4 linked regions of the Astyanax mexicanus genome follow. The protein of the gene in region 2 binds, or shares a complex with, the protein of the main gene of each other region. Links are inferred from orthologs where the notes say so. Each region holds a gene or a part of one and is shown on either strand. Other genes may lie near its edges. The genes, in order: thoc3, thoc5, thoc6 and thoc7.

The links.
Region 1: thoc5 (region 2) and thoc3 share a complex: the UniProt entries of both Homo sapiens proteins name them as parts of the transcription/export (TREX) complex. The link is inferred for Astyanax mexicanus from reciprocal best matches to the Homo sapiens genes THOC5 and THOC3.
Region 3: the proteins of thoc5 (region 2) and thoc6 are in contact, whole or in part, in a cryo-EM structure (PDB 7APK), measured with the Homo sapiens proteins. The link is inferred for Astyanax mexicanus from reciprocal best matches to the Homo sapiens genes THOC5 and THOC6. Residues at the interface, in NP_001002877.1 of Homo sapiens: Pro406, Gly407, Asp538, Ile539, Val540, Asp541, Ala542, Gly543, Leu544, Ser575, Ile576, Ser593, Asp596, Arg599, Glu602, Gly603, Asn606, Val607, Tyr609, Arg660, Phe662, Arg663, Gly664, Pro665, Ser666, Arg667; in NP_001334633.1 of Homo sapiens: Val5, Pro6, Ala8, Val9, Pro10, Leu11, Gly12, Gln13, Val16, Phe17, Leu20, Gln21, Leu23, His24, Met25, Thr26, Phe28, Tyr45, Tyr80, Asp94, Glu125, Val126, Pro127, Glu128, Asn130, Gly146, Tyr170, His172, Glu188, Trp222.
Region 4: the proteins of thoc5 (region 2) and thoc7 are in contact, whole or in part, in a cryo-EM structure (PDB 7APK), measured with the Homo sapiens proteins. The link is inferred for Astyanax mexicanus from reciprocal best matches to the Homo sapiens genes THOC5 and THOC7. Residues at the interface, in NP_001002877.1 of Homo sapiens: Pro48, Asp51, Tyr52, Tyr55, Cys59, Leu62, Gln63, Met66, Ala67, Gln70, Phe95, Lys99, Leu101, Asn102, Ala105, His106, Arg108, Leu109, Gly112, Arg113, Gln115, Thr116, Ala119, Lys120, Val123, Tyr126, His127, Leu130, Leu133, Glu136; in NP_079351.2 of Homo sapiens: Ala21, Asp23, Ile27, Leu30, Val31, Phe34, Tyr50, Met53, Leu54, Leu57, Cys60, Glu61, Met64, Gly65, Thr67, Leu68, Val70, Tyr71, Asn74, Met78, Tyr81, Ile84, Tyr85, Ile88, Glu89, Ser91, Ile92, Ala95, His96, Lys98.

Annotation. Positions count from the first base shown.
Region 1 is NC_064417.1:38,820,559-38,828,166, reverse strand, and holds the start of thoc3 (THO complex subunit 3), read right to left. Parts: upstream 3,006-7,608; 5' UTR 2,969-3,005; coding exon 2,789-2,968; intron 2,242-2,788; coding exon 2,085-2,241; intron 965-2,084; coding exon 760-964; intron 548-759; coding exon 386-547; intron 1-385. Other genes in the region: shtn3 (shootin-1), read right to left, coding at 6,568-6,712, 7,276-7,561. UniProt on the Homo sapiens protein: Component of the THO subcomplex of the TREX complex which is thought to couple mRNA transcription, processing and nuclear export, and which specifically associates with spliced mRNA and not with unspliced pre-mRNA.
Region 2 is NC_064409.1:52,841,162-52,848,458, reverse strand, and holds the start of thoc5 (THO complex subunit 5 homolog), read left to right. Parts: upstream 1-4,275; 5' UTR 4,276-4,380; intron 4,381-5,520; 5' UTR 5,521-5,522; coding exon 5,523-5,618; intron 5,619-5,915; coding exon 5,916-5,978; intron 5,979-6,223; coding exon 6,224-6,367; intron 6,368-6,470; coding exon 6,471-6,584; intron 6,585-6,679; coding exon 6,680-6,777; intron 6,778-7,297. Other genes in the region: zgc:158398 (transmembrane protein 248), read right to left, coding at 1-7, 155-295, 2,062-2,221, 2,307-2,481, 2,588-2,846, 3,168-3,326. UniProt on the Homo sapiens protein: Component of the THO subcomplex of the TREX complex which is thought to couple mRNA transcription, processing and nuclear export, and which specifically associates with spliced mRNA and not with unspliced pre-mRNA.
Region 3 is NC_064426.1:19,838,831-19,845,844, reverse strand, and holds the start of thoc6 (THO complex subunit 6 homolog), read left to right. Parts: upstream 1-4,007; 5' UTR 4,008-4,103; coding exon 4,104-4,118; intron 4,119-6,006; coding exon 6,007-6,098; intron 6,099-6,951; coding exon 6,952-7,014. UniProt on the Homo sapiens protein: Component of the THO subcomplex of the TREX complex which is thought to couple mRNA transcription, processing and nuclear export, and which specifically associates with spliced mRNA and not with unspliced pre-mRNA.
Region 4 is NC_064431.1:26,148,899-26,155,819, reverse strand, and holds the start of thoc7 (THO complex subunit 7 homolog), read left to right. Parts: upstream 1-3,920; 5' UTR 3,921-3,970; coding exon 3,971-3,989; intron 3,990-5,114; coding exon 5,115-5,235; intron 5,236-5,873; coding exon 5,874-6,001; intron 6,002-6,096; coding exon 6,097-6,183; intron 6,184-6,921. UniProt on the Homo sapiens protein: Component of the THO subcomplex of the TREX complex which is thought to couple mRNA transcription, processing and nuclear export, and which specifically associates with spliced mRNA and not with unspliced pre-mRNA.

The sequences.
Region 1 (7,608 bases), on a different chromosome or scaffold from region 2:
TTACTCACCCAAATAAACAGTTTTCACAAGAGAAATCTGTGTACATTAACATCCAGTGCTAATCGGACTAATCTAAAATGCTAAAATGTGTTGTTTTTTTTTTTTTTTTATATAATCCGCTGCACCCTATGTATAAAAATAGACCAGAAAAAAGATGTTTATTAAAAGTGCGCCTTATAGTGCGAAAAATATGGACAATGTGGACAAACTTACTGCGACAGATGCTGTTTAAGTTCTTTCTGAAACCAAGAGTTTCATTGCACACTATGATAAGCATGTTATCAATAGACGCAACTTGAAGCAGACTACATGTGGTAATATTATTTTAGCTGAAAGGAGAAACAAATTAATATTAATGTCAATTGTTTGCCATAAAGAAACTTACCTTGAGAAACAGCGAACACACACCAACTCGTCAACATCCCACAGACTGACCAGAGCATCTGCACTTCCAGTAGCAAAATACTTGCCAGTGGGATCAAATTTGATGCAGATGCAGTTGGACGGATGAGCATTTATTGACTGAATGAGCTTTAGTTCAGGGTAACTGTAAAAGAAAAATGAATCAATAATATTCATTCCCAACCTGGACATGTATACACAGAAATATAAAAGCAAACTGTTTTAACTCCCACTTAACTATGTTCAATTAAATTAAATTAAGGCGGTGCTGCTGAGTTGTTAGGGTTGAGGGTTATAGTACATCAGGGACAGAAATTAAGTAATTCATGCAAATACCACAAAAGAAACAATGCTTACCTCAAAATGTTGATGCAGCCATTACCATTAGTCAAAAAGAACATATCATTATCGTTGTTCCAGGAAATTTCGTTGACCTCAAACTTGAACTGTTCTTCAGCACGTGGGCGGTGAGTTTTAGCATCAATAAAAGTAACCACATCATCCTTATTCCCCACAGCTATGGTCTGACCATCAGGACTCCAACATATGTTAATGTTCTCTCCTAAAACCATAAAAACATACGTTTTTGCACAACTGAATGTATTTGTGCATTTATGCTAACAGCAAAGTTTCAGGTAGCTGTTTTCAGAGCTTGTAATAGTTTTAATAATAATTTTCATAATGTTGTGGCGAGTATGAAAGCGCTGGAATTCCTTAAAAAGAACATGCATGGGGTTATTTTTGTGTGCATGGTTTTATTACTGGAGGGGTGTCTCAGCACAGTTTAAGTCTTTGGCAAATTATGTGGTAGTATTGTCATATTTAAACAACCTTATTTCACCATGTTAAACATAATTCAGTGCAGTTTGTTGAGTCAGTGAAACACTGTGCAACCAGTGCAACTTTATGTATATATGTATACAGCAGTATTTTAAATACACAACATAATGCATTTACAGAAATACACTAATACATTTAACATACACTGTACATGAGGGTTTTATTATATTCAACTGTATACTGATATTACTTCTGAGCATATGAAGAGATGAGTTTTTTCAGACACCTCACCCAGCCATAATTCACAGTGTTTGGACACACCTTTCTTCCTATTCAATGTTTTTCTTTATATAATTAATTTTCTATATTGCAAATTAATAAAAAGACATGAAATCGATTAAAGGACAATTTACAGAATTATGTAGTAAACAAAAAAAAGGATTTGACCTCCACAATCCACTGATCTAAACCTGATTAACTGAGATGGTGATTTGAGGTGATTTGGGATGAGCTGGAGCCTCACAGTGTGAACGAAAAGCAACAACTATTGTTCAGCACCTCCAGAAACTCATTCAAGATGCTGCGAAAACTATACCAGGTGACTCTCCATCATGAAGACACGAAGATTAAAATACCAAGAGTGTGCAGATCTGTCATCAACTCTAAATGTGCTGCTTAGAAGAATCTAAAGTATAAAACCATATTCTGGTTTGTTTAACACTTTTTGTTTACAAAATATATCACCATGCATTCCTGTACAGCTTTAATATAGTCTTTGACATATTACATTTACAATGTAAAACATCGTAAAGAGAAAGAAAACACACTGAATGAGAAGACATGTGTATAACAAAGCTGGTATAGTTGTGAACCTAAGTCAAAATGTTTGTTTTGAGTCTCACCTTTGGTGCTGACCGTGGCCATGCATTTAGTAGTGCGGACATCCCAGATCCGAATGGTCTTGTCCCCAGAAGCAGTGACAAACAGATCCGGGTTGGTTGGGTGCCAACACAGCTGGTCAACACTGTCTCCATGACCTCTGTAGTTATTCTCCTTCACCTGTGAGGTGGTTAGAAATATACATTTACATATCTGGCCTGTAGCAGATGCTCTTCTTTAGAGAGACTTTTTATAAAAAGTGCTTTAGCTACTCTTCACTGTATCCAAATACAACTGTCAGATATCCAGTAATTGACTATATTTTTTACCTTTAATGGAAAATCTCTATTCTAAATGCTGTGTAGTCCAGAAATAGGGTTAATCTCTGAGGAGGAAACTTTCCAAAAATACAAAAACTAATCCCGTCCGGATAAGGCTTAATACTTAATAAAACACCTACATTTGTAGCTGCAGAATACAGGAAGCCCTATCTGGATGGGCTAAGTTTATCACGGGGACGTCTGTAAAAATATTTCACACTTCTACTCTATCGGGTTAACTATTTATCATTAGTACTAATGATAAATAATAGAGCATCACAGTCACACTGCTGCAGGTAATGAATAAACCGATTAATGAATCTGTATGACTGAATCAGAGACAGTAAAGCTCAGGGAAGCGCTGCAGCTCTATCAGATCTCTGAGTGGACTGAGTGCAGGATCTCACCAGCCGGTCTTTCTCCAGCACAAACACACTCGCTGTTTTATCAAACGAGCCCGAGGCCAGCCGCCTCCCGTCGCAGCTCCAGGCGACGGAGTGGACTTTAGCGCTGTGAGCGGGAAACTCGCGGCTCTTGTTGTTATTCCTGAAATTCTCCTGCATCTCATGAAAGTAGGAGGACGCCATTTTCACCGCTGCTTCCTTTAAACTGGCCCGGTGTTTTTTTACCCGGAACTGAAGACCAGCGCCGCCTGGCGACTCGGAGAAACACACTGAAATACACGCTTTCCCTGTGAAAGACCATAACCGCCACTTCAAATAATATCTCAATTATTTAGAGAGAGTCATTATTTTGACATACTAATTCGTTATTTTTAAGATACTATCTTATTATTTTGAAATACTAGCTCATTATTTTGAGATAATCTCATTATTTGTTTTTATTATTTTGAGATAGTAAGTCGTTATTTTAAGATACTAAGTTGCTATTTTGAGATACTATCTAATTATTTTAAGATAGTAAGTCGTTATTTTGAGATACTAAGTTGCTATTTTGAGATACTATCTCATTATTTTTTATTGTTTTCAGATAGTAAGTCATTATTTTGAGATACTATCTCATTATTTTTTATTGTTTTCAGATAGTTATTATTTTGAGATACTATAGCAAATTTGAGATAGAAAATCGTTATTTTGAGATACTAAGTTGCTTTTTTGAGATACTATCTAATTATTTTGAGATAGTAAGTCGTTATTTTGAGATACTAAGTTGCTTTTTTGAGATACTATCTAATTATTTTGAGATAGTAAGTCGTTATATTAAAATACTAAGTTGCTATTTTGAGATACTATCTAATTATTTTGAGATAGTAAGTCCTTATCTCATTATTTATTATTTTCAAATAGTAAGTCGTTATTTTGAGATACTATAGCTAATTTGAGATAGTAAATCTTTATTTTGAGATACTAAGTTGCTATTTTGAGATACTATCTAATTGTTTTGAGATAGAAAGTCATTATTTTCAGATACTATCTCTTTTTGAGATAGTAAGTCCTTATTATGAAATGCTATCCTAGTATTTTGAGATGCTAAGTCATTGTTTTGAGATGAAAACAAGTTTTTTTCTTTCTCTAATGAGAACCTGCAAATGTATCTTAACACGTCTTACGTTGTTTTTTTCCACCGGACAGTTAAACACAGGGCGATACAGGCATATAATGGATATTATATACCCTGCATTCCAACCCTCTGCCCTGCAGAACTACACTAAACACTGTTAAAGAGAGAGCAGACAAGTGTGATTCCCACCAACAGAGAATACTCATAGGTCTACTGAGTGCAAGAAGAGACCAATCCAAATGGTTTCAAGACACAAGAATTCAGTATTTTTTGGCCTGCTTTTTAATTAATTGTTTTGAGATGTCACAAAAGAGTTGTTGAGACCTCTTTTGAATATGTTTTTGTAATGTCACTAAAGATCAATTGTAATTTTTTTAATTCGTTGTTTTTGTGATGTCACAAAATATTTAATGTTGGCCTGTTTTAAATGGTGGCTTTTATGATGTAAAAGGTTGTGGAAATATCACACTTCAAAACACCTGGGTAGTTCTTCATGTTTATTCAGTCCAGTTTAAAAGGTACGGTGCAGGAGAATAACATGATTTTTAAATTAAAAGGTGCACTCATTTTTTGTAGCTTCAAAACACACACACGCAAACATACACACGTTTTAAGATCACAACAGTCAGATAGCATCCCGAGTGAATCCTTAACTTCTTACAGCCTGGACGGCATGCAGGCGGAGCAGAACCATATGGTGTTGCAGTAAGGCCAGTAAACATCCCACAGTTACTGACTTGGGTCAGTTCATTGCTGGACAAGAACAGTCTCTTAAAATTGTCAAGTTTAATATGAAACAGTTTTAATGTGCCATGTACAGTATATCAGAATTCAGATCTCAGTGGGTGATGTAATAAACCCTAGTAGAGCACAACAGTTCAATTCTTTACAGGCTGATACAGTATCGCTCTGTGAAAGCAGTGACAATCTCCTCTATCTCCTGGCTGTTGCACATCATAAAAAGAATGATCAGATGATATTGCATTGTTTGGAGAGGTTATAAAAACCCCTTACAGCCCACCTACCTCTACCTTAACATTACACAACATTACATGTGAAACCAAGCAAATGTCATACAATCCCCAAGCAGTGAATTCACTGCAGTGCAAAAACTCGGGAAAACAGGTGGAAGACATTGGAGAATAGCATGTCAATCCTTAAGAACGTTCACTTTATTGTCACAATGTAAAGAACCGGTACAATTACAGATAGCTAGGAGGTGAGTTGGTCTAGGAGGAGGTAGATTGTATATATCCTAATCTACAGTATCTCCTACATGCTTATCTATGTCTTTCAGAGCACTTGCATGACTTGTATTTGCATCTAATGAGGAAGGTTCAGAAACTGAACCACAGAGCCTCAGATATAACAGCAGAAGTGCCTTGGTGTGCTGTACTGTTTTCAGTCTGATTCAGGATTGAGTTTTTGCATTGTAAACAATGGTCTTTGATTACATTTTACTTTTTGAACATGGAAATCAAGCTGATGATGAGCTTAGCAGTGTAGTAACGTACAGCCTTTTGTTATTGCGATAGGTAATTAGCTGTTGTTTGTTGTTAGATTTATGGTGTGCATGTGGTATTTTTGGCATGTATGATGCCAAATTGCATCATGTTGACCTAAATTCTACAAGCAAGGTCTTAATGCCTTAACTGAGGTTTTAAGGCCTTAATGCCCTCTAGGCACTTTATAGCTAGATGAGCTGATGACCAACTTGAGGTGTTGTGTTAATTAGGCTAAATACAAAGATGTTTTTCTCTAGATTAGAGAATTGCCTCTCAACTGCAACATCATGTTTTATGTGAATTCTTTCCTTATTAATGTTTAGTGCACATCATGATTAAGATTGATACAGGTTTATTACAGTCAAACTCTTGTGATATCAATTTTAGACCTAATAATCCTCACTACACAAAATCATGGACAAATTTAAAGGTTGTGTTTGAACAACATAAAATTATGGTAAATTACTGTATTCAAGAGTAGGAACTGTCAGGTCCGGACAATCTGGAGCTGCTCTTGCACACGTGACATACTGATGGAGATTTTCTGACTACCGGAAAGTTCTGTGGTTTAGGCAAGGGGTAGCACCTGCATTGCATGTGCAGGAGGCACGAAACGACCTGCTGTGAAAAATCTGGAAAATGACTTGCTTAATTCACATCTGACCTAACTCAGACATTACCTAAGCTTTGTACTAGGCAAAATAAACTTTGGATAATGTCCCATACAAGTTGCCGTGCAGGATTGCTTCTATAAGTCTCTGGCAAATCCTGCTAATGGCTGATGCAAACAGAAAAGGGGTCACTTTGTGTGTTTGAATATTTCCTTTGGAAAGGCTTTGTAGCAATGCATTTCATATGTTGCATTTTCTTGCAAGTGCATGGTACACGTTCTGGCAAAACCCACTTTCCAAAAGATACTTTACAGAGGAGCAAATGATCATTTCCCAACAGGAATAAAGTAGGTTTCCTTTAAGTTCCCAAAATGCAGGATAGATCTATATAAAGGGTGTTCATTAGTGGATACAAACCCACACAATCAGACAGTTTGTGCTCTGAATACCTAAAACTGAACCTGTGCATAATTTGGAATAATAAATAGAAATTAAAAAACAAGATTTCTGTGCAAATGCTGCAGCTGTCCTGCTAGTGCTTGCCTTCCGTTAACACTCAGCGTCCACGCTGCCATTTGCATCGTTAGGGCCATCTGCTGAGGAGCTGAGAGAGGCCTGCAGGTCCTCATTGTGTGTGGGGTGGCTGATCCCATTGGGTTGCTCACTCTTCTCTTCCTCTTCATTCTTCTGCACCCTGTGACACACCAAGAGACATTATGTAAATACATTAGAAGACATACAGTGTAATCTGTCCTTTATTTGTATTATTTCTAAATTGTAGATTAATATTAAATACTTAAAATACTTACAATGAAGGAACACATATGTAATTAAATTAGTAGACAAAAAGTGTTTGACCTTTACAAACACCTGACAAACCCAGGTGGTTTGGGATGAGTTGGAGTGCAGAGTGAAGGAAAAGCAGATAAAACAAGAGCTGAGCACATATAGAACTCCTTTAAGAGAGAACCATTCCAGGTTCTATCTCATAAAGCCAACTGAGATAATAATGTCAAGAGTAAGCAAAGTTGGCATCAAAACAAAAGGAATTTAAAGTGTAAAACATGACATCTTTTTGTTTATTAAATAATTTTGTATGTCTTCCTTCGTAGTTTTGATGTCTTTAATAAGAATCTACAATGCAGATAATAATAAGAATAAAGTGTTCTGAAAAAAATCAGACATACAAATACCAATTAAATAAAGAAAAAAATATTATTTTCCACTATGTAATGACAACTGCAGAAGTAGCTTTACCGGTTGCAGGGGCTTTTGTTGTTGACCAGTTCTGCAGGTCTTTTCTCAGAAAGGGATCTCTGGACGGAAGCTCTCGGTTTGGTTCCGCTTGGCTCTGTGCCGAAGTCTGAGCTCCTGCGGGCTGTGGGTGGTTCTTTGCCGGAGTCTGTGCTGCTTCTGGAGCCAGTGTCGCTGGTGGAGAGAGAGCTACTCCCTGGCCCGTCCGTGTCTTTACCTGAGTCAGAACTGTGTCGACCATTTAGGCTATCGTTCGAGGAAACCTTGCTGATCTGACCATCCATCTCATCTGCGGAGAAAAGTGAGAGAACTGCATGTGAGAATAGCTCAGTGAGG
Region 2 (7,297 bases):
CAGTCACCTGTAATATGAAATTGCACATTTCAGTAAAGGTGTCTGTACATGACAAGCAATTTATTTACAAAAATTTATGGATTTTTGAGCACATTGTGTAAAGAACCAAATTAAGTTCATCCATGAACATCAAATAAAGTGTTTGGTTCCTCACCTTTTGGAAATGAAGATCGTTGGCAAGGTGACGCCGAGGCCTGGAGCAGGTAAGAGTTCCAGTAAGGCACATCATGCTGCAGACAGCCAACAGCACAACGCTCACCAGCATCAGATGATATCTAGCTAGTGCTTTCTCTTCCTAGGAAGGGAGATGCAGCAGAAAGGTTAGTACATTGTATGAAAAGACACCATTTCCAGCTGCGCACTGATCAAGGAACTGCTACAAGATAGTGGACAATTAAAGACTGGATCAAAGAGAAAAATACTATGATATACGATGTTGGTGTAAAGGGCAAGGTATGTAAAACAAAACATGATTATCCCATGTGTGAACCCAAAAACATGGGTTGATGGGAAAGACAATCTAGCAGATTCCTAGGATTCCTTGATGATCAGGTTCTACATTCTGAAAGCAGGTAAAGTGGCAACTATGTTGACATTTGTCTGAACAGATTATGCTAATAAATTGACGTGTGAGTGCACAAAATTTTTTCATGCTTATTGTTGCACATGTAGAACTGTCACATTAGGATTAATGCATGCATTTCAGTCTAGCTATTTAGATAGTGGGGCATTAATGCTTACTAGCTATTTACCCGAAAAGCCTATGTTCATACTGCTGGTATGAGGGAGTTCTGAAAATGTCTGTCCAACACTGATAATTGCAAGTGATCATACGGAATTTGCATGTTTAGGCGTCACAAACCTATCTGCATAGGTTGCTTTAGTAACAACATGGCCGACAGTAACCTGGCCATGCTGTTGGATCTCCAGACTTTTGTTACTCTGGATTTGATGTGGTTACTGTTGCGTTGCGAGTGATGCAAAAGACATTTTAAAATGGTTTGGGCAGTTAGAACATCCACAGTCTTTAGAAGTTGTCTGAAAAATCCACATTAAATCCAAATGTTCCAAACTGTATTTCTTTTTGCCGCCTTCTTTTTTGCGGTCTAAACTATCAAATAAATCTGAATACAAGGTACATATGCAAAAAGCCAAAACCAGAACAAAAAATGTTTTTCAGTGTCCTTTTCCCACTCACACTACCACACAGACTCACAAAACAGTCTGCATTATGTTAAAAGTAAAGTAAGGTTTATCAACTCACTGTACAATAACAGTAAAAAACAAAAAAAGATTTCCTTCATGCACATGTACATTAAAAAAACACTTGTAACAAGATGGAAAACTATACATTAGTCTCAGAATCTTCCCAAAAATAGCTTATTGTGGAGTGAGTGTCAGGGATCAGAACAAAAGTAAATTTACTACAAAGTAAGTTGCAGGAAACCAGAAACATAAAATTCTCCTCACATCAGCAAAAGTTTTGTACAGGTGGTGGTAGTGGTTTGTGATTGTGTCTAAAAAGATGCATAAAAGTGCTTGTCTGACAAGGAAGAATCTTTTAGTAAGTTTATTTTTTAAACCGATGGACTGAAATTTAAAGTTGACTATTACCCGTTTCTGGGGTGTGCGCGTCCACATGCTATAGTAACTGGGTAATATGCACTTTTTATATAAGAATGTTAGGACCACCTCTACGACTTACCATCTACGAGGTAGATCTAGCTAGCTAGGTAGCTGTCTAATGGAGTAAACAGTGTTTAAGAACTCCAGCAGCACTGCTGTGTCTGTTCAAGACATTAACACAATCACTGTGTCAGTAGTGTTGAGAATAACCTAACAACCCAAATGCCTGCTCTATGATAGGCCTGTGAAGTCCTGGCTATTGACGAATAGGGTAAATAGAAGAGGACAAAGCATGAGAAATCGAAAGGACTACATTCTGTAATTTAAAAACTATAAATCTTCTTATAATCAGTAAGCAGACAAGATGGACAGTAGAAAAAAGAATATGACCATAATATTCAAATTTGTTATGATATTTGATCATATGTTTTTTACCTGAGTAAGTAGCACAGTCAGTTTGGGGTCAGGTGTAAACTTTAAGATGAGGCATGGAGATGCATTATCAGAATCCTGCCTGTATGATTCTGTAGCAAAGACTCTGACAGGAGAAATATCCTTCTCTGGGTTGTAGTTTGCAGGGCATTCTGGAGGTTCCCTGAAAATATACTCAATTCAGCATACAGGTATATAATCTAAAAAAAAAACACACATTTATGAACTTCTATTTGGTAGTTGCTTACGATCTCAGCGGGAGAAGGTGAGCTGGAGCTGAAATTTTCAAGCAGGACATGGAAGGCTTCGTTTCAGCCTCAGTAGGCAATTTTGGATCAAAGGCAGAGTTAGAGACTGTGCTTGATATTTGAGATTGGAGGTGCAAGAACAAAGATATGTTAAATAACTCCTTTCCAGCAACACCTGGGGAGAGAAAAGGTTCAATAAATGAACGCTGGACAGTTTTTGAAAAATCAATCCAATGAATAGCATTCATTTTTATAGACCAAATACAGGAGCACATACACACCCTTTAGGCCTAACTGGCTTCCCAATAATGTAGCACTAATGCTGTTGTGACTTGGATCATTTTCAGTGCACACCAGAGGTACAAGTAGGGACACATGAACAACTCCTCTAGTGTCTTGGGAAGCATTTGAGAAGGTTCCAACTCCATGATCTAATAGCAGAGGGGATTCATCCTCTTGTTTCCCACCCAACAGGTCTGTATTGTTTACATCTGTGCAGTACCTCAGGCTTGCAATTGATCCCAGTATTTGATTCCAGTCCTAAAACAAATATAGAGGACTCTTTTAGGCCTATAGAAACATTTAGTAAAATTAGATAAAATTCTGATTTACAGAAGTGCATTGCAGGGAATAGATGACTAGAAACATGTGGTAATACATGTTTGTTATCCAAAGTAATGGATGATTGATCACCAAGGATCTTTAGACAGACTTATATCATATCAATGTTGTTGCACCAGCATTATTATTAAGCTGTATAAAACTATGAATAGTAAATATTACATTGTGTGACAAACCAGTTCCTTTAGGGTCTAGCCTTCTAGCCTCAGTACTCTGATAAACATATACAAACATAGTTACCAAGCTGATGTCTGGGTTCTTAATGTCATGTTGTTTCGAGTATATCCCAATTCCAATAAAGGCTCCAGCCAGGATCAGCAGGCAGAGAAAAAAAACAACAACAGGCGGATGATGGACAAGTTTAAACCTCAGATTTGTTACAGGCTGCCACTGAGCCATGGTGTGTTACAAAAACCCTCAACACAAGCACCACCTGAAACACATACAAGTAAGAGTATTGGCAGGTATGTAAGCTGACTTTAACTGATTAGAATATTAATCAATGATCTAATCAGACCTTTGAGCTAAAAAAAACCGTACCTTTCATTTGCTTAAGTTAGCTATCCCAGAGGAATACTGGGCAATGAACCTGAGCAGAGTGAACAATACGTTATATTGTTTTAGAGTCAACACTGCACAGATACTACCGATTAGACGTTAAAAGCAATGTTAACTCTTTAAGTACAACAATAGTAAGTACACACTTGACTTCCTCAGGTGGGAGCGAAGAGGGACTTTAGTTCATGTTTCAAAATAAAAGTCCTGCTGGGATTAGAGTGACGTTGCAACAGACATAGTAAATAAGCGAATTTAATGATTTGCAACGTCTTTTCATAGATTAGACTTACTTTTTGATACGTTAAGAACGGCGTGTTTTAAGTGCATGTGGAAACAAAACACGAGTTTACACATTGAAATGCTTTTCACGAAAAGTTATATTTTTCAATGTGGGACGTTAAGTTGACCGTTGAATAAAGAACACTTCTGGGCAACAACTACATTATTTAATAGTAAATACCAGCAGCCATAAAGAACAGCTCTGCAGTTTTTTTTTTAATTTCTGCATTTTCTGCAAATAAATGCTCTAAATGACAATATTTTTATTTGGAATTTATTATTATTTTTTATTCAAACATATACCTATAAATAGCAAACTAATTCAGAAACTGAAGTGGTCTCAGAGCTGTATATCTAGTATTTTATTATTATTATTATTATTATTATTATTATTATTATTATTATTATTATTATTATTATTATTATTATTCTCTGTTTTTAAGGGTAAAGGTTAAAATTATAGATTTACTGAGGCAAACAAAAGTACTTAACAGACGAAGTATACCACCAATTCAGCTCCTTTTTAAAAGAGACTTTTATTTTAACCAGGGTTCAGATACAGATTCACCGTAGTCTCTGAATTCACACATCGTTCCCCTCTGTCCGCGCTGCTGAGGTAATTGTTTTATATAGTCTAAAATATCTCACGCCTGATTAAAGTGTGATTATTGAAGCTAAGTATTTTTGATGTCTGTTATTTAAGTTTATGTAAATAAATCTCCGTTTATACTAAATGTGAGGGGCCGTGGCGGTATTTGCGCTGTATTAGTTAGTTAGTCGGTGGATCCTGTGAGCTCCAGTCTTTCCTCTCAAAATTTTATCTCTTACATTATTTATTTAAAAAGTTACACAGATATTTCCAAACATCTCACTGGGGCGGGTTTATCCATCCAAATGCGTTCTGATTAATAGCAAAACACTGTGCTTAGAGACCCAGTTCCAAATATTAGCAAGCTAACATTGCATTAGCAGGCTAACATTAGCATTTCTTATTCCGAAGGTCCATGCTGCTAGTTAGGTTATCTCTTGATCTATCTAGCTAGGTACAAAGTTAGTTAGGTTAAGGATTTGGTAATAGAGGTGGGTGATATGGCCCTAAAATAACCACGAAATTTCATGGTATTTTTGCGATAGTGATTCTTTTGGTGATGACAAAACACATAGAATTTTAGTTTCAGTATGACCTATTAGAGTGTTAAATAACTAAATGTGAAAGCTCATTTTTGCACTGATATCCCTGCACTACATGCATTTTTGTAACTAGGTTGTTGTTTTTCATGTAAAAATTAACTTGTCAAAATCGAACAGTCACTTAGTGCATGTAAATGATTTTAAACCAATGCCTTTGAGCCAAAAACAATACAAAAATATATTGATTGTGTACATGCAGTGTCTAGTAGCCTGACTCAGTTTTTATCTCCCATGATTTAAATATCAACATGCCATCTAATTTCAAAATAGTGTGTTAAGATGTGCAGCATCTGGCGCTAAACATTATCTGTCACTTCTATGTATTTTTAAAATGTACTTAATGTGCCAGTTGACAAAATACACTGCTTGTCCTAAAAAAGGTCACACAGATTTTTCACCTATAAATTTGATTACAGTGGCATTGTTTCCACAAGCTTATGTAATGTCAAAACATTTAGTTCCAATTATGTGAGTTTACTTCACATTGTGTGTGTGGAAATGCTCTTACTTTCACTAGTGAACATATCCCTGAGTTCTTTGATTTAATTTGGCAATTTTTTTCTAGCCATGTCTTCTGACACTCTGAAAAAGCGCAAGGCAAAAGTAATCCGGAGTGATGGCGGGACTCCTGAAACTAAACGAGGTCGAGGTGAAGGGGATCAGGTCAGTGGTATCTTCCTTCTCTTAATTATGACAATTTTGGAGAGACTGTTCTGTTTTCTCAGAAACTGATTCCATGTACATAGCTGTTATATATTTTTTGTAGGAGTAAGACTTCAGTAGGATTCAGTTTTGCTCTATCCATTTAGCATTTTGACATCCAAGTGTCCAGAGGGTGTACAAGGGTGTTACATGCTTATATTTAACACCCTTAAAGCTGTAGACTTTAGGTTGTATTTAGAGTGAATAGTAAATGTTGGAGATTCTTTGATGCCACACTCATGTGAAATGTATTGGTAGGGAAGATTTCCAGCTGGAGTCTCCAATGTGGACCAGAAGAAGCTGTTGTCAGTGAAGAACAAGGTCCAGCAAAAGTCTCTCTGCTCTAATTTCTATTCTTTAAAAAAAGACTTACATAGCCTATTTCTGGTGCACCCACCTCTTTGTATGTACACACTTGGGTGAGAGCAGGGTATAAAATGCTAAATTTGTGATAGAGTAGGTAAGAGAGAGAGGTTTGTTCAGACATTGCCTGTTTTTGGTATAAAGAGCTAGTAAAGGTGAATATTTGCTACCTCTATGTATTCCTGAGTGCTTGTTTTCATTAGGAGGTGCGTGTGTATAACGAGGAGGTGGAATTGGAAGGCAGAGACCCGGAACAGGATTACGTCCTTTATAAAAGTACCTGTGACTCCTTGGCAAAACTAATGGCTGAAATACAAGAACTTAAAGCCAATGGTGCAAAAGAAGGAGTAAGTTTCTTTCTTTTTTAAAAAAAAAAATAAACCCAGGCTAAGATGAAAGGAGTGTTGATGCTAAACAGCATAACTAAAATGCCCATGTTTGTATATACAGAGTGAGGAGGTGGAGGAGAAGCTCAGACAAGGTTGTGTTCATTTCATTACCCTGAAGAAGCTGAATCGTTTGGCACACATGAGACTGAAGAAAGGACGTGATCAGACGCATGAGGTACTCACAAGAAACACCCTTTTTCGTCTCTTCCTTTTCTAGTTTATTTGCACATAGTCTCTCACCCACCCACTGCTTTTCTTCTGTTTCTTCAGGCGAAGCAGAAAGTGGATGTGCTGCATCTGCAGCTTCAGAATCTTTTGTATGAGGTCATGCATCTTCAGAAAGAAATTGGCAAATGCCTTGAGTTTAAGTAAGTTATTGTCCTTTTAAAAACATACTACTGTATGTTTTTGTACAAACTTGAGCAGCTTGTTCCCAAAAAATCTCATTCATAAAATTATCATAAATTAATCATAATTTACGTAAATTATCAATTAACTGTAAATACTTACCACAGGCAGTCTACCAAAGCGAGTAAAAAGGTGCTCTTGCATTAGAATGTATAATTTAAACATATGCAAACATTGAAAGCTACCAAGGAACTTTCCAAAGAAAAGTTAATATTCAAATAAGCAGGTGGTCCTTTCACTGTTATTTTTGCTTAATGTAGTCAGATATCAATCAACTCGACTTAAGTTTAGGGATGGTAGGATGATCTGTGCTTGTGAAATGTGGTTAAAACATACACGACCAGGATTGAGCACTCAAGTTTTGGTCTTTAAAACTCAAACAGATCTCAGTATGTTATTGTGCACCCAGCACATTTGTAAGTAGAATTGTATTTTAGATGGTTAATGTTTATGTTACAAAGCGTATATGTGTGTATACGT
Region 3 (7,014 bases), on a different chromosome or scaffold from region 2:
TAGGAAATTCATGAGTTAAAGTAAAGGACAATAAGGAGCTTTTCACATCGTTTAAAGCAGGGGTGTCCAAGCTTGTTTTTTGGGGCCAGAAGGAGAAATATATGTACAGTCACGGCCATAGACTCTGTAATAATAATAGTATGAAATATATATAATAATATATATATAATAATAATATATAATAATAATAGTATGAAATATACTTCTTATAATAATACATTTTATTGATTATCATTTACACATCATTTTACTTGAGTTACTATCATTAATAGTGTTGTGTAAACTAAGATTTTTCAAATTGGTGTTTCATTTCATAATGTCTCTTAATATTATAATCCTTCATTACATACCTGTCAAGTCTCCCGTTTTGGCCGGGAAACTACCGTATTTTACTCCTCTTTCCCGCCGTCCTCCCGTATTAGTATTTTCCCGTAAATTTCCCGTATTATATTAAAAAAAAAAACTTTACTATTGAGGCGACAGGGCACTGGTCACTGTGTGTCTCTTAACCAATGGTAGTGCCGGTTCAAGGAGAAAGTCCCGCCTTTCAGGTGAAACAGCCAATCAGGTTCCTGGTTTCGCAGAGCGCAATGTAGGAAAGCCCCGCCCCCCTCGCTGTGAGAGCTAGTCGGAGCAGCTGACGTTAAAGCATATCTGGATATATAGCGAGGTAACGGAGCTAAACATGTAAACTATGATGACGTTGTTTCTGAAACAGTCGGATCAAACCGACTGTGTGCTTAAGAAAATACAGCTTGTGACTCAGTTAGCTTAACTTTACAATTAGATGTTCAACCTGCCCTGATCAGCCAATAACTATTTCATTTTCAAACTGTGTTTATTAATTTAGGTTTGCAGGCCTACTGTAAGCTATAATGAACGAAACTGTATTTATTTTATTAGTTCAGGGCTAGTTTAAGAGTATTGTGGTGTAATTTATTATTTAGAAGGGGCAGAAGAGATGGTTGATCTGGAGAGAGAGAAAATGTGAAGAGGGCTGAAATTAACTGACTGACAGGACTGGACTGATCAATAGAAAGAAGTATTAATTAAATTATTAATTGTTTAGGCCCCTTTGGACTAATATTTACTTATGCAATATATCTGGTCCATGTCATTTTTGTAAAAGCTGATGATTTCATGTAAATGTCTAGAAAAGGGTTTAACTTAGGCTGTATTATAAGAATTACATATGTAGGAATGTCCACAACATTTCAGTGTCAACAAAGATAGACCTGTCAGATTCTGATAATCTAATTGTAGTTTGTAAAATGTTCCCAGGTGGTTATTTTAGATTTATTGTAAACCTGTCTTAAAATATAAGGGATTCTGAACCTCGGTTGGGTTGGTGGGCGACTCGAAGCAGGTGACGGAAAATTTCCCTTATTTTTAAGTCCAAAACTTGACAGGTATGTTATTATGGCAACTTTTTCCTGACATATGCACACTTCCCTTTGAACGTTTCTGCATTTGCAGTCAATTTTCCGTCTTTTTTTTTGAGTTGCCATGTTTTACTAAAAGCTCAGGAACGTTAATGTAGGCAGGGTTGCCAGATCCAAGAAAAATATCCAGCCCAAAGTCAGTCTAAAACTTGCTCTTCAGAAGCTTAAACTAGCCCAAAATATGTCTATTACTTAGTACTACGACGTAGTATTTTGTTTATAAGGAATTTATAAACAAATTATTTATCTTAAAGTCAGTACTAATATTGTAACAGTATTTTATTAGTTTTTTTATAACAGTTTTATATTCCAGTCAAGAACATTTAATAGCAACATAATTAGCAAAAAAAAAAACTTACTTTTACTTACTCATTTCTGTACTTGCCCCTCCGTAACTCTCTTTTCTCCTCTTTTAACATTTTTTATCTTCTTGTGATTTAAACTGTGATTTTCTTTGTTTGTTTCTTGTGACTTTTTTGCCACGGTAATTTTTAAAAGTCGCCCCTAAATTTTCACCCGCAACTGGATTTTCAAACAAGCCCAATTTTGCGGAAAAACCGCCAACCTGGCAACTCTGAATGTAGGCATAATGAAGGAAGGAAAGGAGATGAGGAGCGTTTTAGATTAGGTTTATGTGATAGCGACACCTAGCGCCTAAACTTTAAATCTCACATTATTAACACTTGCTTAGTTACGGGCCAACTTTCAAAGAAACACACACACACACACACATACACACACTGCCACAGTCCTACAACTTTAAGCTCCCGACCCTCAAACACATTCAAGGTGGAAGCTCGCATGTCCATGTTTTCATTTTCTTTGAAAACCAAAATATGTTTACCCTCAATAAACATCCCTTATTTACAACAGTGAATTAAGTCTGTTCTAAAACTTTTCACACAGTCTGAAAGTAAAAAAAAATGATATAAATACAAAATTGTAAATGAATAAATTAATAATATTAAAGTTAAATACGAAAAACAGAGTATTGAAAGTAAGTACAACTTTTCTGTCTTCAGTTTCTTCAAGAGATGTATATGCATATACAAGGTCTGCACAAAAAAAACGAATCTGTGGCTTTAACTGATGAACTTCTCTAAAAGTACCAACAACTTACAACTTACAACTTACCCAGCGGTCAACAATTAGTTAAACAAAACATAGAAGAAAAAACAATGGACTCGTTAATAATCATTAACAAGCTTGTTAAAAGCTGAGAAATAATAAGTGGCATGAATCAAAATCACATTTAACAAATACATATTCTAAATGTTATCTTGCTCCACCAAACAGAGCAAGGGCAGTGTGTAGAAACATTAATGTATAAAAATGTGTAAAAATACATTGCATGAAATTTGTACTGGATCAGTTGTTCATGTTTTCTGGAACAGATGGATATAACCTGTTAAGGATTTTGAGAGTCTCATGCCATGTGCTGTTAAAATAGCAAGTTTACGAATATATCTATGCTGATGGGTGTGGTGTTTTGAAGGTGAGGTGTGGTCAGGTAAATTTCTGCCAGGCTGATATTTTGGTAATGGAAAAAACAGCTGCGCCAACAAACTGATTAGAAACTAAACAGCTCAGTGCACATACCCAACTTTTTGTGTGGAAGAACAAAATCAATACTGTTCACCTATTGTTTTTTTTAATCAGTTGCATGACTTTATTTATTAGAAAACAGAAAAAGGTGGAGGGTTCTCTGTTGTAATTTGTGTATATTATGTACTTGTAAATCAAACAAAATAGTAAACAAATATTTGAAACAAAAAACATTGGATGGATGTAAAATGTTGTGTTTTGTCTTTATGAAGAACGAAGTATAAATACATTTTAATGGGATGTCACAGTCCTTCAAACAAAAGCTGACCTGGGAAGTGTACTAACCTTATATATAAAAAATAATTGTTTTATTTCTAATGTGGGAGTTAATATATTAAATTTACAGCTAAATTTACCAAATTGAAAACCTCTGGAATATAATCAAGAGAAAGACGGATGACCACAAGCCATCAAAACAAACTGAACTGCTTGATTTTTTTGCACCAGAAGGGGCATAACGTTATCCAAAAGCAGTGTGTAAGACTGGTGGAGGAGAACATGCCAAGATGCATGAAAGGGTTATTCCACCAAATATTGATTTCTGCACTCTTAAAACTTGTTTTCTTTGCATTATTTGAGGTCTGAAGGCTCTGCATCTTTTTTGTTATTTCAGCCATTTCTCAGTTTCTTCAAATAAATGCTCTAAAAGACAATATTTTTATTTGGAATTTTGGAGAAATGTTGTCTGTATTTTATAGAATAAAAAAACAGTGTTCGTTTTACTTTAACTATTATTAAACTATTTATTTATAGCTATAAATAGCAAAATCAGAGAAGCTGATTATATACAAGAGCTGAGAGCTGTATATATATACACATATACTGCCCATTACCACAGTATCTACCATCTACCTCCATATCTCAGAGACCCTCTTAACGAGTGGAGTAAATTACTATATTGATTTCTCAGTAATTCATTCAGGTTATCAGAACATAAGCCCCGCCCCTTTTCTCTGTAACGTCACTTTCCAGCGACAGTGTTTAAACTGAAGCGGCTGAAGAGCTGCAGTGGTTTTACAGCTCAGTTTCAGCACAGCGGCGATTCCTCCTCTCAGTATGGGTCCTGTAGAGGTAAACACCACACACCGCCTCTCCTACAGCTCATATAAACATATAAACACTACAGCCCGCCTGTAAGAGCCCGGTGTAGGACCGCACAGCGCCCGCTGTTAGCACTGCTGACTCTCTAGTGGGCAAGATAGCCTTGCTAACGCTAACTAACCTAGCTAACCTAATAGATACCTTCTCTATTTACTAACTCAGCTAAACTGGGGTGATTTAAATTTACCACTTTTCTAAAAGGTGGTCTGGTCTTATTTGTGTTGCTGTTGTTTATTTATGAGTATTTGCTTGCTTCATTAATGGAGAAATATCAACCAACTAGTTAGCTAGCTAACAGTTAACTGGGTTATCTAGCTCACTATACAGCTCTGGAAAAAATTAAGAGACCACTTCAGTTTCTGAATCAGTTTCTTTTATTTTTCCATTTATAGGCATATGTTTGAGTAAAATGAACATTGTTGTTTTGTTCTATAAACTACGGACAACGTTTCTCCCAAATTCCAAGTAAAAATGTTTTCATTTAGAGCATTTATTTGCAGAAAATGAGAAATGGCTGAAAAAAAATGCAGAGGTTTCAGACCTCAAATAATGCAAAGAAATCAAGTTCACATTCATAAAGTTTTAAGAGTACAGAAATCAATATTTGGTGAAGTAACCCTGGTTTTTAATCACAGTTTTCATGCACTACTTTTGGATAACTTTATGCCACTCCTGGTGCAAAAATTCAAGCAGTTAAGCTTGAATTAATGGCTTATGATCATCCATCTTCCTCTTGATTATATTCTAGAGGTTTAAAAAAAAAGGATATGTTTAGTTGGTTGTTGCTAGCTAGTTACTGTAGTTTTTGAGCAAGCACTGACAATGGCTGCATCCCAAATTTATTTTTATTCTAGCAGTGGTGCACAGTTGACTGAAGGAGCTTCACTATGAAAAATAAACGAGTTTTGTAGCTTGTTAGGTACAGGTGCATGTAAATTGAATATCATTGAAAAGTTCTGAAATTTATGCTTTTTTTGTTTTAATTTATTTCTTTTATTGTTGATGATTATGATTTACAGCCAATGACAACCCAAAAGTCAATATCTCAGAAAATTAAAATATTATATAAGACCAATTGGTACTTTTGGCAGTGTGCCAAGTCCTGCTGGAAAATGAAATCCCCATATCTCCACATCTCCATAAAAGTTGCCAGCAAAGGGAAGCATGAAGTGCTGTAAAATTCTGTGGGAAAACACTGCACTGACTTTAGACTTGATAGAACACAGTTGATCAACACCAGCAGATGACCTGTCTCTCCAAACCATCACTGATTGTAGAAACTTCACACTAGACCTCAAGCAGCTTGGACTGTGTCTCTCCACTCTTCTTCCAGACTCTGGTCCCTTGATTTCTAAATGAAATGCAAAATTTACTGATGGTCACTGATTGTTTGGAGAACTAGGTCATCTGCTGGTGTTTTACAGCACTTTATTCCCTCTGCTGTTAACATTTATGGTGATGCAGATTTCATTTTCCAGCAGGACTTGGCACACTGCCCACACTGCCAAAATACTGGGTGGTCTTATATCATATTCTAATTTTCTGAGACACTGATTTTTGGGTTTAATTAGCTTTAAGCCATAACCATCAACAGTAAAAGAGACATATCTAAACCTTTTAGGCCACACAATCATTCCCTTTCTTTCTACCTGTTGGTGGCCATTGAACACTAAAAACTCTTTAGAAGATCATCTTGCTTGATGTATTTAGCTATTATCTGTTGAGTCACAATTTATCGTATATTAGATATAGAAAAAAAAGAAGTTAGCAGTGTTGGAAGAAAAACTTCAATGTCTTAGTCTTTTCACTTTCCCAAGTTAACACACATTGTAATAACCACACTGTTCTCCCTCCACAGCTTCTCCACATGTCCGTGTTCTCCCAGAGTTTTTCTCCCTGCGGACGCTTTCTTGCAGCTGGTAATAACTATGGAGAGATCGCCATATTTAGGTGAGCTAATAAGCACTGAATAAGATGTGTTGGTTCCATACTATAACAGGTTACATGCTCATTAGAGTATTTCAGAATTGGTTAAAAGTGATTAATTTAGGGAGAGAGGTATAATGCCCTGAATTGAACTGAAGTTCAGCAGCAAAGTAGCTGAAATTATCCAGGAGAGTTGCCTACAGAGCACCACTAGTTACCTATTAGAAGTGCTACTGTTTGAAGAGTCGTTCCATTTTTTAGGGTAGGGGAGGATTTTTACCACTTGGATAAAAAGAAAACAAGTGGTATTGGTACAAAAGAGAAATTAGACTGGGCCTTTGTATTCAACAGTTAGGTCAATGCTAAATAAAGATAACAAAAATGGTCAAGAAAGGCAGAACTAGTGCTATAATATATATTAGATTATACCACACCTAGTTCTGACCCTGCAAAGTTATTGGCTGAGAGACATTTTGTGAGTGTCAGTATTGCATGATAATGGCACTCTGACCAAAGCTGTAGGATTACTGGGCCACATACACACATGAGCTAAGATTCAGTCACAAAACAGTTAAACATGTTAGACTTCTTAAAAGTTGACTTAATGTGTGTAAAGTGATTTTTTGCAACAAATTCCAGTCTTTAGCTGCAGCAGATTAAAATGATGATGATAAAATAAACACTTTATTTGCTTTTGGGGAAATAATAAATGAAGAATGTTTGGAACTGTTGCATGTTGGAACCTTTAGTATCAGTATCAGAAAATAAAATACATTGTGCACTCTTAAATCAGCCAAAATATGAAATCTTTTTATTTAATTCATATTAATTTTTAATGATTGTTTGATATTGTATTGTATCATTTTTCCCCATGCAGTCTCTCAGCAGCACTGAGTCCAGATGCCACAGATCTGAGCCAGAAGCCCATTCTAACTTTTAC
Region 4 (6,921 bases), on a different chromosome or scaffold from region 2:
TAACACTTTACCTGGATGGTCTATTTGATGTCCTCATTGATAGTCAAATAACATTCAATTGCAACTGAAAAGTAAAAGTACATGATTCTCTAATGAATGTAACCCTACATTTAACTCTAACCCAAAAACTAATCTTAACATTTTAGGATTGGGTTTAGGGTAGATTTTAAGGGCGTTTAATGGTTAAGGTTAGGGTAAGGTGTAGGGTTGGATTTTAGGGTTGATTAATGGTTAAGGTTAGGTGTAGGGTTAGATTTTATTTTAAATCATTTACATTCACATAGGTTTATGTTGCATGTAATAGACATTCAGTTGATTGTCAGTTGAACATCAACAAGGCCATAATAAAATGGACCGTCCAAGTAAAGTGTTACCGAATAAACTTGCATTGCCTTGTATCACAATATATTGGCACACTCTTAACTGACACTGGTAGTCCACAACAAGTCAACAACTTGGGTTAGCTTAGCTTAGACACATGGTTTCACTTCCAAATCTGCCTCCCACAAAGTCATCTTACAGAAGTAGCTTAGCTAAACTAAATACAGCCCTGGAAAAAATGAAGAGCCACTTAAAAATGGTTTTACCAAAAACATGTTTTTTCTTTGGTTTTACCAAATTGAAGACATCTGGAATATAATCAAGAGGAAGACGGATGATTACAGGCATAAACATAAAGTTATCCAAAAGCAGTGTGTGAGACTGGTGGAGGAGAACATGCCAAGATGCATGAAAACTGTTTAAAAACTTTTGACAACTGTGACAAAATGTTTGAACTCTTAAAACTTTATGAATATGAACTTGTTTTCTGTGCATTATTTGAGTTCTGAAAGCTTATTTGCATATTTTTTTGTTATTTTAGCCATTTCTCATTTATGCAAATAAATGCTCTAAATGACAATATTTTTATTTGGAATTTGGGAGAAATGTTTTCTGTAGTTTATAGAAAAAACAACAATGTAAATTTTACTCAAACATAAACCTATAAATAAAAAAATCAGAAAAACTGATTCAGAAACTGAAGTGGTCTCTTATGTTTTTTTCCAGAGCTGTATGTTAGTTTTCTCCCTCCTGTCAGGAGAGCCCCATTTATCTACAGAGCTGCAGCTCGGAGGTTTTAATAGACAGAAGGCTGCTGGTGGTGTTGCTCCAGCTGAACAAGTGCACTGAGAGAGTGAAAGCAATGAAAGCAGGCAGAAAACAGCAGCACAAATATAACTAAAGCTAACTAACTATAAACAACTGCGAGCGGGCTCAGGACTTTCTGACAACCAGGGCTCTGGCTCGGGCTCAGGCTCGGGGGTCCGTCACCCAGCTAACAGCGCTGATTAAAGTTGGAGAAGAATTACGTCACCAAAATAAAATGTTAGTGACATTCAGAGAGCAGCAGGAGGAGGAGGAGGAGGAGGAAGAGAGGAGGGAGGGGGGGTTGTAGCATGTTAGCTCCGCTGCTGTTTCTACTGCTGGTGCTAACAGCTGCAGCCATTTGGAGCTAGGTTAACTACTAGCAGAAAAAGCCCGGACAGCCATTAGCAGCTAGCAGCGCTATCCGCTCTCCGCGTCCCCTTACCTTACCGTCCTTGCGCCCCCCGCGGGAGCGCGCCTGCCGCCCACACCGAGCGTCTGCCTGCGCGCGACCCTGCGCCGGCTGGACACGCTCGCGGGGCCCGGGGAGCGGAGTGAAGCGGGGGAGCGGCCGCGGTCTGCGCTCAGTGGCTGTGGAGGAGGAGGTCTCCACCAGGTGCGTCCATGTCTGTTTACCACGCAGCATTCTGGGACGAGCGCGTCACCGTAGCGGCCTGCGAGCGCATGCGCGGACAGGCGCGCGCTCACCAACCGCCCCTCTTCGCTTCGTCTACCCTCCCTCCCCTGTTGCTGCGCAACCCTACTACTGTCAGAGTATTAAATAATAATAATAATAATAATAATAATAATAATAATAATAATAATAATAATAATAATAAACAAATTGGTTAATATAATCCATCGCTATTAAACTGAACTGTTAACTACCTGATTTTTTTTTTACATTTTTGGTTTAGTTTGATATGAGAAGTCATTACTTTGAGATGACCAATGGATTACTGACTAAAAACACAATACAAAACAATAATACGACTGAATAATTATGTAGTATTAACAGCCTATAGTCTTAATTATTAAGAAGTAAACTTTATATTATAGTAAACATTCCATCACTTATCAGTAGGGGACGAGCCCTGAATGGTGGAGATTTTGGAGGTGGTTCAGTGAAGGTATCCTAGTCTTGAGAAGCTGCTAAAATTCACATTTTATTCACATTAATGTACAAAAATGTTACGTTATACGTGCCTGCAGGGGTGTTTTTTTAGATGCTCATTATTTTGAGATAATGTTTCCTTATTTTGCGAGGCCATGTAATCATTTTGACATAATTTATTTATATTCTGAGTTTATTTTTTATTATTTTAAAATACTTCTTAGAGCTTTTGAGATGCTAAGACTAATTCTTTTGAGATGATAAGGCATTGTTTCGTTTTTTTAAATTATTTGTTATAAATATAAGATGATAAATCACTTTTAAAGTTTGCTAAACTTTCTAATTATTAAGAAAATAAAGTCATTGATATATTCTCTCATTGTTTTGGAGATCCTTTGTTGTTATTTTGAGACTGCACATGTTTTTGCACTCACGCATTTCTATTACAGTCGTCCTTAATGGAACCTAAAGGTTTTTTTTTCTTTTCCTTTTATTTAATCGCTTAAAGAACATAGTGTAGTGAAAATATGCTTTTTTTAACGGTGAATAGGAAACCTGAACATAATATTTTTGAATTAAATATTTTATATTTATATTTTAAAAGAACAATATTATGTATATGTTGTATTTAACCTAACACATAGATATTTAATAGCTGGGGGTCTGAGGTGAATGAATGGAAGGGGGCGCTCTGCTTGTGTTGGTAAAGTTATGGTGAGACCAGAGCTGGTTTATGGCGAGCCTGCCCACTTCATATCAGAACATTAATATGAACCGCTAGAGGGCGCCCGCGAGTGAGTCCTCAAGGAATGGGGTGAATGGAGCTAAACGGCTAAAAAAATAACTAAAATAGTAAATAACTACGTGTTCAGGACATTTCTTTAATTTCAGAAAAGTAAAATAATGTATTTCCCCAGAAAAGAAAGAAAATATACTATTAAGTTTTCAGTTTTTAGATCTGATGCAGGATCAAACGTTTTATATAGTTTTATAAGTTATAAGTTACTTAAAAACTAAACTAAACTAAAAACTAAAAAATAGAAATGTGTATTTATTACTGAAACATTTGATATTCTTCTGTGTTCAGGGAAATTTCATTATTATATTTAAATAAAAATCAAACATTTCTATACTATGATTTTGCTTACTTGCTCCATATGAACCCATTCATTTTGGACTCACTTGGAAGCGATCTTTGGTGGTTTGGTTTGGTTTGATTTAGTTTACTTTACTTTAGTTTTAGTTTTTTGATTTTGCAAAACGTATACACACATAAAAAAAAAATAGTAGACTATTTTAACATAAAAACAGTGATCATTTATTTAATATACAGTAGTATTAGTCAATATAAATATTATATGTGGCAATTAAAAAAAAACTACTAATTATACTAATGCATTAACAGTTAATAAATAAATAAAGACATTTGTTAAGAGAAAAAAAGTATTATTTAAAATATATTTATTTATTATTTATATCCATTATATTAAATATGTGGAGCTGGTGGGCGTCCCTCATGTTTTAAATTTTCATTTTCATGGTGGTAACCCTATTTATATATTATATTTGCAATATTAAGGTAATATTGAATAAATCACAGAATTTTAAATAACGTAATTTAATAAATAATATGTTGATTGGTTGGTAGGGGTTCATTAAGTGGTCCGTCTCCCTGATACAGGGTCTGTGGTGAACGTCAGTCTCTAAGCTACAGTACAGGAGGTTGGACAAATGGGGAGCATAACTGACGGTGAGATTCTGATTATTTATGTTGGATTAATGCTTTATTTTTAGCGATTTTTATGGATATTTCACGGGAATTGAAGAGAATATGAGTGTTTACAGACTATAGAGGTCATACAGGTTACGGAAACAGATTAAAAAAAGCTGTAAATAAACTAATAGCGAGCCGGTTAACTGTTTAGCTAACTAGCTTAGCTTAGCTTAGCTCTCTGAGGTAAATTAGGAGCTAATAAGCTAATGTACAGTTTACATACGGGTTTAAACACTGGTATATAAAATGAGGCTTTCTCACAACGACGGAAACATTTAATTAAAAATTGATAACTATATTAATATAGCTTAGTTAATTCATTCATTAACGTTACTTAGGCTGCAGCAGAACTACAACAGATCTCACTGTGTGGCTCTTATAAAAAGAATAAAATAGAAATTCTCTGATATTATTGCATTAAACTGCATGAATATGAGCTACAGTAACAGCTATGGATAACAGCTAGGTCGCTATTAGGATTCTAAATGATATGCACTGTGATGAGTACTGTGTAATATTTATATAAAAGGAAATTATATCATATCAAAACCGTTCAATAGTTTTTTTAAGTCTACCTGGCCCACCTCATATATTTAAATGGTAGTATCTATTAATATAAATAAACGTTAATTTAGGTCTGCATTTTCCCCCTTTTATAACAACAATAATAATAACAGTAATGGCGATAAAATTATTTATGTAACAGAAAATTATATTATATGAAGACTATCCAATATATATTTTTAAAATCTACCTGGCCTACTTAATAGTTAAATGGTAGTATTTATTAATATAAATAAATGTTAATTTAGGTCTGCATTTCCCCCTTTTATAACAACAACAATAATAATAATAATAATAATAATAATAACAGTAATGGCGATACAATTATTTATGTAAGAGAAAATTATATTATATCAAAACCATCCAAGATTTTTTTTTTAATCTACCAGGCCTACTTAATAGTTAATTGGTAGTATTAATTAATATAAATATGTATTTTTCGGCATTGGCAGATACTGTATATACCTTTGTAATATTGGCATCTGCATATGAATGAAACTTTTGTAAACTTTTGTATACAACTGTGTCTTTTATCAGATGAGGTCATCCGGAAGCGCCTCCTCATTGATGGAGATGGTGCTGGAGATGACCGGCGTATAAATGTGCTGCTGAAGAGCTTCATCAAATGGTGTCACTCAAATGTGACGCCAGAAGAAGGGTAATTTCGTTCAACAGATCCTTTATATAATTTGATTTACTCTGCTGATTATTCAAAAAATATCCCTAGCTAATTTTGTTGCCAGTATGGATATCAAAATGCACAATGCTCTGAGACTTTTCAGTCATGAGTGCAGCCTTCAGTCCAATGTTCTTCAATACTGGGATTAAGGACCCTCCTCTCCAGCATATTTCAGAGGATTGCCTGCGTTAATACACACATTGCAACTCTGAAAGGGCAAATTAAGGACCTGGTTAGATTAATCAGGTGTGAAGGGAGAAGGGAAAACCATACATTTGCAGGGCAGAAGTGCGACGTGACTAGGATTAAAAACCCTGCTGTAATAAGTGTAAAAATTGTGCTCATCTTGCAAGAAATTGGTCTTTAGTGTTTGTTTGAAGACGGCAGGTGACTCTACCATTCATACATTTGAACCCAGCACCCATTTGATTCATTCAAAGCTCATTCTCACTTCTGAACACAGTCATAAAGTTGCGATAGATAAGTTTGAATAAGATCTGAGGTCTGCATGAAGGTAGCTTGCTAAAAACAGGGTGAGGAGCATTGTTGAAGATCGAAGATCTACACCAGGGCCTCTTCTGCTCACATTTGCTGAATTTCTGTCCTCTTTCCTGCAGGTTTACACAGTATCAGAGGATGCTGGGAACCTTGACGCAGTGCGAGTTCTCCATGGGAAAGACGCTGCTGGTGTACGATATGAACCTGAGAGAAATGGAGAACTATGAAAAGATTTACTCTGACATTGGTGAGGATTTTATTGATTCAGAATCAGAGGTTTAAAGTATTACATTTTACATATTGTTTGATGTAACCATGAAACATGTCTTTTCCACATCACAGGGCAGAGCATATCATCAGCACATGAGAAGATAGCAGAGTGCAAGAAAGAAATCCAGAGGGCTAAGAGGATACGAAAGAACCGTCAAGGTTTGGTTATTTTATCAGTTTAACTTGAGTAAAATTTCCCTGAATGAATAAGAAGGATAAATAAGCCTCCTTTGTTTTTAGAGTATGACATACACTTCCAATCAAAAGCAGCAATTATGTTTGTCCTAGATAAGCTGCTTTTTTATTTTCTCATCTTAGCAGTGACTTTATTATTGCATTTTATCTGTCAGACCTGTAATTCCTCTCTTGACTGCTAAAACTGAGACTTGGTCTACTGTTAAGATGAGCTAAAAGCTAAAGCTGTTGCCATGTGGGTCAGCCAGAACTCTTCCTGTACCAGTCTTCTGATAGTGTAGGAAACAGTACTCACCGCTCTCTGGCTTCATCTGTTATTTCTTTAATTTAAAGAAATTTAAATTTCTTTTCTTTAAAGAAAAGACTTCTACTTTTAATAGTAACAGAGTTGTCTGAGGTCTTTCAGATGTATTCTTCTAGTTATAATAATAAAAGTGTGAATGTGCTGTGTAAATGCTACAGTAAAGATTGCAGTAACACAATCTGCAAAATTTTGTAAAAATCGGGATTTTGTGCCATTTCTGGTTATTTACTGGACCTGAAGAGCTTAAATGGCATAAAATAAAGAAGAAACAATTGGGGTGTTCTAAATTTTACGGCAGTGTGTTCCCTGATCAGTATGTCTATGTAATTAGTCATTAAAGTTATTTATAAATAATACAGTAGTGAAATATTTTAGAAAACATGTTATATTAATGCTTT